Nothobranchius furzeri: one gene and its partner. The protein of the gene in region 1 purifies or fractionates together with the protein of each later gene. This does not show direct contact. Links are inferred from orthologs where the notes say so. Each region holds a gene or a part of one and is shown on either strand. Other genes may lie near its edges.

Region 1 (4,439 bases):
GCACTCTATATGCCTGGTGGGTGGGATGATGCAACAGAGTGAAACAAGAGTATGTCACATTCATTGTCCAGTAGAATGCAGAGATCATTTGAAAGACAACGGTAGAACCCGCCCCACAACTGAGAGCTGTCAATGGAGTGTGGCCAGACTAAATAAATGTATTATTTAGTCTGGCTTGCCAGGCTAGATAAACTTCATATTTTGGAGCGATCCGGACAGATATAGTGTCGCTGCAGTTAAGTCGGCTTTTATTAGGCTTTAATAAAGGATGATGAGAAGGATAAATGTCCACCAGGCAGTTCAGATAGTTCGGCTGTTTTTTGAACTGGAAGCAGAGGAAGTGGACGGAGACTCGCAGCCGGAGTCTGAGGCAAATAGCGAGGATGTTGAGGATGTGGCAGATCCATCCTTCCTCATAGAAGAGTGGGGTCATGATGAGGTAGAGGATAAAGGCAGCGATGCAGCTCCTCGGAGATCCAACAAGAGGAGTGGGCGGCGCCGCGCAGCTGTAAGATCTCGATCTCCGCGGCGTGAGACGGAGCCACTCCCCACTCCAAAATGCATGTACATTATTGCCAAATTAATAAAATGAGTATAAATTCAGATAGTCAAGGTTGTCCTGGAAAAAATGATCCCCATAAGGCAATATTTATTGTTTTTATTAGAAAATACAAAAGAAAAACCAAAATGAGTCAAAAATGGTGATTTACACCCTGGACCCCAGAGGGCTAATATTTTTTTTTTATGTGTTATTTGCTATATTTATTCATATTTTTTATAAATGTACAGTCTAGATTACCATTCTAAATTATAAAAAAAAAAACATTCGTCATAAATGTTTGTTGGTTTCACAGTAAAATAAGCAACTTTTTTCCAGTTTGGATTTTATGTTTTTGAGTGATTTATGGTCTAATATGCAACCCCTTTGTGTTCAAATATAAAAAATAAGTATAAATTCATAAGGTCCAGGTTGTGTTGAAAAGACTGATGCCACATAAGGCAGTGGTTATGGTTTTTATTTTGGAAATACAAAGGAAAACTCTCAATTAGTCAAAAACGGCAAATTACACCCTGGACTCCAGAGGGTTGAGGAATAAAATGCCAACATTTCTCAGCTTTCTCCTAAGCCTGACAACATTTGTTACCTTGGTCTCTGTCACCATACAGTCGAAGGGGCAGGAGAATACTGCAATCTTGGCATCCTTAACAGATGTGACGTCTCCCTCTGCTTCCTTCTTAAAAACCATGCCATGAAGCATGGAAGAATTGGTCACTCCACAACCCTGAATACATAAAAAAATAATTAGTCACAAAGAATGCAGACTAAAAAATAAAGCTAACATGTAATGAAGCTCACCAAAATCTTGCACACCCGGACGTTGTCAACGTTGAAATTGTTGGACTCTGGGAATATGGACACTGAAACAAAAACCCAGTAGGGTAAAAAATAAATAAAGGCAGAAAGAAACAAACTTACATTACTGTAGGGATGACATCTGAGCTGACTAACCACAGGCCTCTGCGATGAGGTTGGAGAGGAAGTCCTCATTCCCGTACTGTTTGCTCATGACTGCCGTGCGAATGAGAGATGTGGACTCTTTTAGATCATGTAGGTTTTTAGCTGAGGAACATACGCAGTCGGGAAGGAGCTCCAGAGCTTTCTTACAAGCCTTTTCATAGCCATCAATCACCTGGAAAAAAAGATACACTTACTTCTTTATTCTAAATTTAAGTCATTTCGTCATAAGAGAGGAAAAAAAATTAAAGAAAATGTTTTTTCAGGGTAAATAACATTAAATCCATCCCATATTATTCTAGTTACCTCTGACACAGACAAGCCCATCCGGAGTAGCTCCTCAGCCAGCTCCAGCAGAGCTCCAGCAAACACAAGCACAAAGTTGGTGCCATCTCCAACCTCCTGCTCTTGCATGTGGGATGCCATCACAATCATTTTAGCTGCTGGATGCTGCACCTATGGAACAAATGTTGGGGCCAAACAAAGTGGATTAGCATATTTGTGAATTATTTTATTTACTTTCAACAGGATGGACAATAAGTATTTAGTAAATATCTCCTCACCTCCAGCTCTCTGAGGATTGTTGCTGCATCATTAGTGACAAACAGCTTCTCCAGGTGGTTGATGACCATCTTGTTCATACCTGTGACACAACAGTTTCAGTTTAATTAAATAAGTCAAACTTTAAAGATGTTTCTGATTTTAGATACTTTTGTTGGAACATAGTTACCATTGGGGCCGTAGGCGGTTCGTGTGGTCTGAGAAAGCTCCTTGCATGCTCTTATGTTACGAAAAACTGCTTCTTCTAGCCCCGAAAAATGCTACAGTAGAAAATAAAATAGTACATTTAATAAGACATTTACAACGATGCAGAATGTTCGTTTTAATTTCAAAAAGATAAATGCTATGGTCAACCTGTTATTTGCAGCAACTTAGAACTATTATGAAAATATGAGCTGGTCTGTACTTGGTGTAGAGCAGAAAGAAGTGAGAACACTCATAAGGAAAATCATGTTAAATGCCCTTAAAGAGCAGAAACTAAGTGTCTGAACTTTAGTTGTGACAATTAGCTAAACGCTAACTGGGTGTGACTGCAGTTTGACAACCTAACTACTGCAGCATCATTTTAACGTTTAGGCAGGTGTATGTGCAAACATGAAAACGTCCCAAATAAGAACCGTAAACAATACAAAATAATCAGACCCATTATTTCAACGGCAAACCCAACCAGTTACTTGGACCGGCCTGGCTCTTTCTAGAAGTCTCCCACATGACTGTGAATGTACATGCTAACATTAGCTCGCAAGCTAAATCACAAACACCCACTCAAACCTATTCTACCGCATAAACACGGTCACTTGAACCCACCTTAGCACCATCCTTTAACATTTGGGCAAAGCCCGGAGGTTTTGGGACGTGAAGAGCCATTTTCTGATGATTAGCAGCCCCGGTAAGTTAAAGAAGCTAACCGCAGCGTGCTTTCTGCTCGGGGTACAAAGCCGGAGAGGAGGAGGCGGAGCCAGATACGGGTAACAACAAGGGACAAACCGAACGGTTGTCGTTTCAGCTGGGCTGATTGAGCATAAACCGCATAAACCAAGTTTAAGATTTTCCACTTGAAGGTGCACATGTCATCGACATTAGACCAATGGCGTAAAATTATTGCAAATGTTTAATCAAGAAGTCAAAGTAACAATTCTTACATGCACTGAAATTACAGGTCATTTTAAAATATTACTTATAACCTAAATATATGTAGCGATCTTGTTTTGGGGTTACTGTGCGGCAGAAGAGTAACACTCACCATGTAATGTTTAGCTACTTTTAATAAAAACAATACATGTAAAAATTTACAACCCATCAACGTGATGTCAAACTCATAGGGTGAAGACTTGTTTCTGGATTTGTACAGATTTTATTGTTTGGACACATTCACATTTAGACAGCTTTTCTCCTCTTCCATTCACACAGAAAAAATAAGATGGGGGAAATGTTTTGCTTCATTTGAGGCAGTCACTATGCAAACGACTCACTGGATTTCTCTTCATGACATAATCCTCACTGCCATCGTCTGGTAATGAGCCTTTAACTTCTCCCCCATCACATTAACGGATGATTTATGTGTACTGTATTAGCACATAAACCACTCACATTACCAACCGATGGAGAAAAAAGCTCCCAATTAACCACTGCTTAATCTTTATATAAAAATAACACTATATGCTTGGTTTAAACACATTTTATAAAAAAGGCACCAAAATGTTAGGATAATTGCATACATATATGGGACAGATTTGCTGTCCAGTGTCAGTACATTTAGTGTTAGTGCTTTAACTAGATTTGGTTTATTTTAAAAACAAGTTTTATGAAATGCAACTACGTCAAAAAAAAAAAGGAAAAATGAGACATTTTGTCAGACAACATCTCTCAAGGTCCTGTGTCAGCTAAAAATGAGGACTTTTAACTCATATCTAGCCAACTTGAAACATGTAAACACTGAAAATTCACACAAATTAATATAAAAACAGAAAAAAGGCAGCTAGGTATAGAAAAGTCTCCCAGTATCAAAACAAATCTACATGTAAATGTAACAGAACAGTGACGCCACAATAATACATGTAAAAAGACAACTTTCACAGTCACACATAAATGTAGTTCAGTTGGGTTTGCAAGCAGTACTCGCAGCCGTGTTGACCCACCCCCCCAGTGTGTTTGAGAGGCGTGACGCTCGACGCGAGAGGTTAGAGCGACAGAGTTTACCGCTGGGGTCCAACTTCCTCATCACCGCCCCTGCAGAGCGTTTCTTTAGACTGGGTCTGCTGGGAGGACAAACGCAGAAAGCAGAATATTTAAAAGTGAATAACAGAAATGCAACTTGCAGATTTAGTAACAAGAAGGGAGCAACTTCAGCGCTGTAAAGTCA
Region 2 (4,568 bases), on another chromosome or scaffold:
GACACATTTACCAGGTCATAAATAAACAAGTTGAACAGTTTAGGTCCAAGGACCGACCCTTGTGGTACTCCACAACTAATATCTCGCAGTTCTGGTTTATTGTTATTTATCTGAACATATTGTTCTCTGTTTTCTAAATAGCGTTTAACCCATTGATTATTAGTGGTTTGGGTTGGTTCTCATGATGGTTTTAAACAAACCCATAATTAGATTTATTTTCACCAGATACAATACAGAGATTAGGTCAATGGTATGAATGCAATTTAATAACAAATAGCGAGCTGCCATCAAGGGATTAAGCATGCATTTCTTTTTTTATATATATTAATTTTATTTCTGAAGACAAAACAAAAGATGAATAATTAACAGACCAATGGTTAATGTTAAAAGAATGATAAAAGTTTTTCTCAGAGAAAACTGTAAATTTGAACTTCACATCGCGTGAAAGAAACGTGATGGCTTTTAAAAACAATGTCAGAGTGAGACCTCCCTATTTTTATTTTCTCTCTTCACCAACTTTCCCTTCCACGAGTTCCGGTAAAAATTTTCTTGCCCTTTCCTCATTGGATGCGGTGGTGGTTATAAATAGCACACAAAAAGAAACCAAATTAATTCATTTATAATAAATAACCTACCATTGTGTATGTGATTAGATTAAAACTGAGACCTTAAACAGATTATATTCAGAGAATTATAATTTGTTTAAATGATTTTGCTTTTTGCTAGAAACATTTTTACACAAATTAATTTAGTGTAATTTAGGAAAAACTCGAATGTGAATCAATAAAACATTAAGGCTCGTTGAATTAGAGTACTTTTGAAAAGGGCGTCATTTTTTAATCTGTGTGCGCGCGCACGTGTTTGTGTAAACCCTAAATAATACTTCTGTAATTAAATGAGCTGTTTTTATTTCTAATTAAGATTGGTTTTTGCATTACAAGCATTAGAAACTGATTTAGCCAACATGTAGTAAAAACTTAAATCAGCCACACGAGGGCGACATTTATCCAACAGAAGGTTAACGTTCTTCACTAATCTGGTGTTCTAGGAAATATCAAGGTTTACCTGATCAAGTTTGGTCTAACCTGTTTTCTCCGCTGAATTGTTGTTATGATTTATTTAACAACTAATAGAAACAACTCAAATGTCGTGTGGTTAATTAATAAATGAGCAACTTGAAGAAAAAACTCGATAAATGACAGAGAACCCGTTCATTTTGGAGCTGTAATATTGGTTTCGTAAATAGTGAAAACAACGAGCACTAATTAAATCCACTTGTTTTTGCACTTTGGGAATGTAGTACACTGTTATTATCAGCAAACATTTTCCATTAGCAAATATTGTCGATGTGTTTTATTTTACCCAGTGAAATGTTATTTTTTTAATTCAGTAAAACGGAGAGAGGCAGGTTCGGGTCCGGTACCGGCCTTCCTGAATAGCACCTGTCTGGTTCCGTTCCCAGCTGCTACAAATGGATTGCTTCTCTCTCTTTCCTTATGTGGTCATATCGCACCTCGCAGGAAGTTGGTGTTACTTGTATTATTGTCTTTCCACACAATTAAATATTCCTCTTTTATTTTTTGTTTCGAAATCGCTGATTACTTTACAGTATTTTAAATAAAAATATTTCTATTCGCTTCACAATACTATTCAATTTAAATGACAGCATTTCCGGGCTAAGTAGATTAAAATAAAATCTACAGTTTCTTGTTTCTGCCGGATCTGCCCACGCGGACTTCCTTCTGTTTCCGGTTTGGAAAGGAGCAGTGGTGTGGTTTAGAAGGGACTCTTTCATTTGTCAAAATGCAGGTTTGTTTGGTTTTGTTTGGATTTTAAACAGCTTTCGTTAGCGAAAGTGGCGGTTCAACGGTGGTGAAAATTATGTGTACATGTTTTTATCGTTGAACAAAGTAGCAATGGGCGTGTCGTTGTCGTGTTAACAGTTTAATCAGATCCCTGAGCAGGAGAATAATATCAAGTAAAACCGAAGAGATGTGAAAAGTTTTGTTTAATCCGTCCTTTACTTTTGGACAAAAACCCCCACAGATCGTGGGTTTAAATTGTCTTTTTTGAATATTCAAACTAAAGTTCGCTTTAAATGTTCACTGACTTATATAAATGTCCGTGAGTCTGAACACAGATTTTGGTTAAACCATTTGGACTTTTCTTCTTTTCCTGAAACATGTCAATTAAAGTAGAAGTGCCACGTGCCTAACTGTTGATTATTGGCCCTCACTTTCATTATCCTCATTGTTTTCGTTGCAGATGAAATAAAAGTGTTTAATTACATAAAATGAAGCACGTTTTATTAAAGGCTACTGATGGCCAATAGCTATAATGTATTTTCAGTAATTAAATCATCTGATTTGTTTTTTAAGCTTATAGTTGTTAGACAGACACAAACAGAAGTTATAATTAATTCTATTACATTTGTCGTTGTGTGAATGATTAATTATGTTTTCATCAAAAGAACCCAAATGAAGACACGGAGTGGAACGATATCCTGAGGAAGAAAGGCATCCTCCCCCCCAAAGAAGTTCCTAAAGAGGATGAAGAGGAGGAGGAGCTGGCCCTCCAGCAACAATCTGTCGGTATGAAGGCTTCAACATGACTGTTTAAGGGTTTCACCCACATTGATTTTAAATGTATTTTCATATTTTAACATACTTTTTTACATTAGTCATATTATTTTATGTTTGTGCTTATCTCAATCCCATAAAATCAGAAATTGTAAGATTATTTGTGGATTAGAGGCCGTCTGCTGTTTGTGCAGTTAAAACATATGAGAGTATGACTCTGGATGAGCTGGAGGAGAACGAAGACGAGTTTGGAGAGGAGGATGAAGCTGCCATTGAGATGTACAGGTAAGTGGTTCAACAGGAGAACTGGGCGATCAAAACTCAATAACTATCTGTCGGGTTTTTGGTGCCTGATGCACTTTATTGTACATTTGACAAAACAAAACCCTGGTGAAATTTAGGGATGCACAATATATCGGTATCAGCCGATGTTAGTCATTTTTGAACATATCGGTATTGGTCCAATAAGTAAAACGGGGCTGACATTAAAAACCCAAATTTTTTCCATCTTGTTTCCGTTTGTGTATCTGTTTGAGAGGGTGAGGATGTGTTTAGTTTAGTCCTGTGACTGTGTGTGTGTGTGTGTGTGTGTGTGTGTGAATAACATCTTGCAAATTCCATTTTATAGAAAAATAGCAAAATATTCACAAATTCGGCTTACATAATGTCAGTCTATACAAAATTTGCTGATTTCAGAAGCATAAATCGGTATCAGACATAACAGTTATGTAAAAATCAATATCGGCCCAAAAACGTCATGTCGGTGCATCCCTAGTAAATGGCCTGTATCTGATATGGTGCCTTCTAGAGTTCTGGAACCCCACAATCAGTCATTCACCCATTCACACACACATTCACACACTGGTGGGGATGAGCTACGATGTAGCCACAGCTGCCCTGGGGCACACTGACAGAGGTGAGGCTGCCGAGCACAGGCGCCACCGGTCCCTCCGACCACCACCAGCAGGCAACGTGGGTTAAGTATCTTGCCCAAGGACACAGCGACAGCGACAGACTGAGCGGGGCTCAAACCTGCAACCTTCCGATTACGGGGCGAGCACTTAACTCCTGAGCCACCGTCATCCACCAGTAAAAATAAAATCTCTTTCCCATATGGTTGGTTTTTACTCGATTACATCTAGGAAATCAAGTCAACGCTTTAATTCTGAATCTTATAATTTCTTCTATTCCTGATGCATTTCTCTCTCCGTGGCTGTGTGCTGATGCAAGCTGCATCTCCTTCCAGACAGAAGCGTCTTGCGGAGTGGAAAGCGGCTCAGATAAAGAACGCTTTTGGAGAACTGGGGGAAATCTCTGGACAGGACTACGTCAAGGAGGTCAACAAGGCTGGAGAGGGAATATGGGTGGTGCTGCACCTCTACAAGCAGGGGTGAGTTAAGACCAAAGCTAGACCTGGATGTTTTACATAAACATCTGGAAAGCTTTATGTATAGAAAACATGCTGCTGAATCTGAATCAGTGTGGTGATTTCAGCACTAACCGATCCGCCTGGTCTCTCTGTCCCAGCATCCCTCTGTGCACCCTCATCAACCAACACCTGAACACGCTGGCCAGGAAGTTTCCTCAGACCAAGTTTCTTAAGTCCATCTCCACCACCTGCATCCCCAACTACCCCGACCGGAACCTGCCCACCATCTTTGTTTACTTTGAGGGGGAGATGAAGGCCCAGTTCATCGGTCCTCTGGTGTTTGGGGGCATGAACCTCAAAGTCGAAGGTAGGTCTGATTTATTAAACCAGACCAGACTCACCAAGTTACTGTTTAGGCTCGTCCCTGTAATAAGAAACCTGAGATGATTTCAACGTTTAAACATCGTGTCTGACTACCACCGTTCTGACGAGCTGTTGATCGTTTTTGTTTATCTGCTTGTTCTCCAGCTTAAGTGTTTCTGTGCTTCTCTTCCAGAGCTGGAGTGGAGGTTATCAGAAACCGGAGCGGTGAAGACGGACCTGGAAGAAAACCCCAAGAA

What was found.
Region 2: the proteins of cct8 (region 1) and pdcl3 purify together in Homo sapiens (affinity purification with mass spectrometry; 3 studies listed by BioGRID and IntAct, with this or other methods). This does not show direct contact. The link is inferred for Nothobranchius furzeri from reciprocal best matches to the Homo sapiens genes CCT8 and PDCL3.

What each region holds. Positions count from the first base shown.
Region 1 is NC_091750.1:65,567,441-65,571,879, reverse strand, and holds the start of cct8 (T-complex protein 1 subunit theta), read right to left. Parts: upstream 3,024-4,439; 5' UTR 2,945-3,023; coding exon 2,885-2,944; intron 2,338-2,884; coding exon 2,247-2,337; intron 2,160-2,246; coding exon 2,080-2,159; intron 1,973-2,079; coding exon 1,823-1,972; intron 1,692-1,822; coding exon 1,511-1,691; intron 1,420-1,510; coding exon 1,358-1,419; intron 1,284-1,357; coding exon 1,146-1,283; intron 1-1,145. Other genes in the region: protein PIMREG, read right to left, coding at 4,173-4,335. UniProt on the Homo sapiens protein: Component of the chaperonin-containing T-complex (TRiC), a molecular chaperone complex that assists the folding of actin, tubulin and other proteins upon ATP hydrolysis.
Region 2 is NC_091754.1:32,212,166-32,216,733, forward strand, and holds the start of pdcl3 (phosducin-like protein 3), read left to right. Parts: upstream 1-1,689; 5' UTR 1,690-1,803; coding exon 1,804-1,809; intron 1,810-2,470; coding exon 2,471-2,591; intron 2,592-2,773; coding exon 2,774-2,864; intron 2,865-3,825; coding exon 3,826-3,969; intron 3,970-4,106; coding exon 4,107-4,315; intron 4,316-4,504; coding exon 4,505-4,568. UniProt on the Homo sapiens protein: Acts as a chaperone for the angiogenic VEGF receptor KDR/VEGFR2, increasing its abundance by inhibiting its ubiquitination and degradation.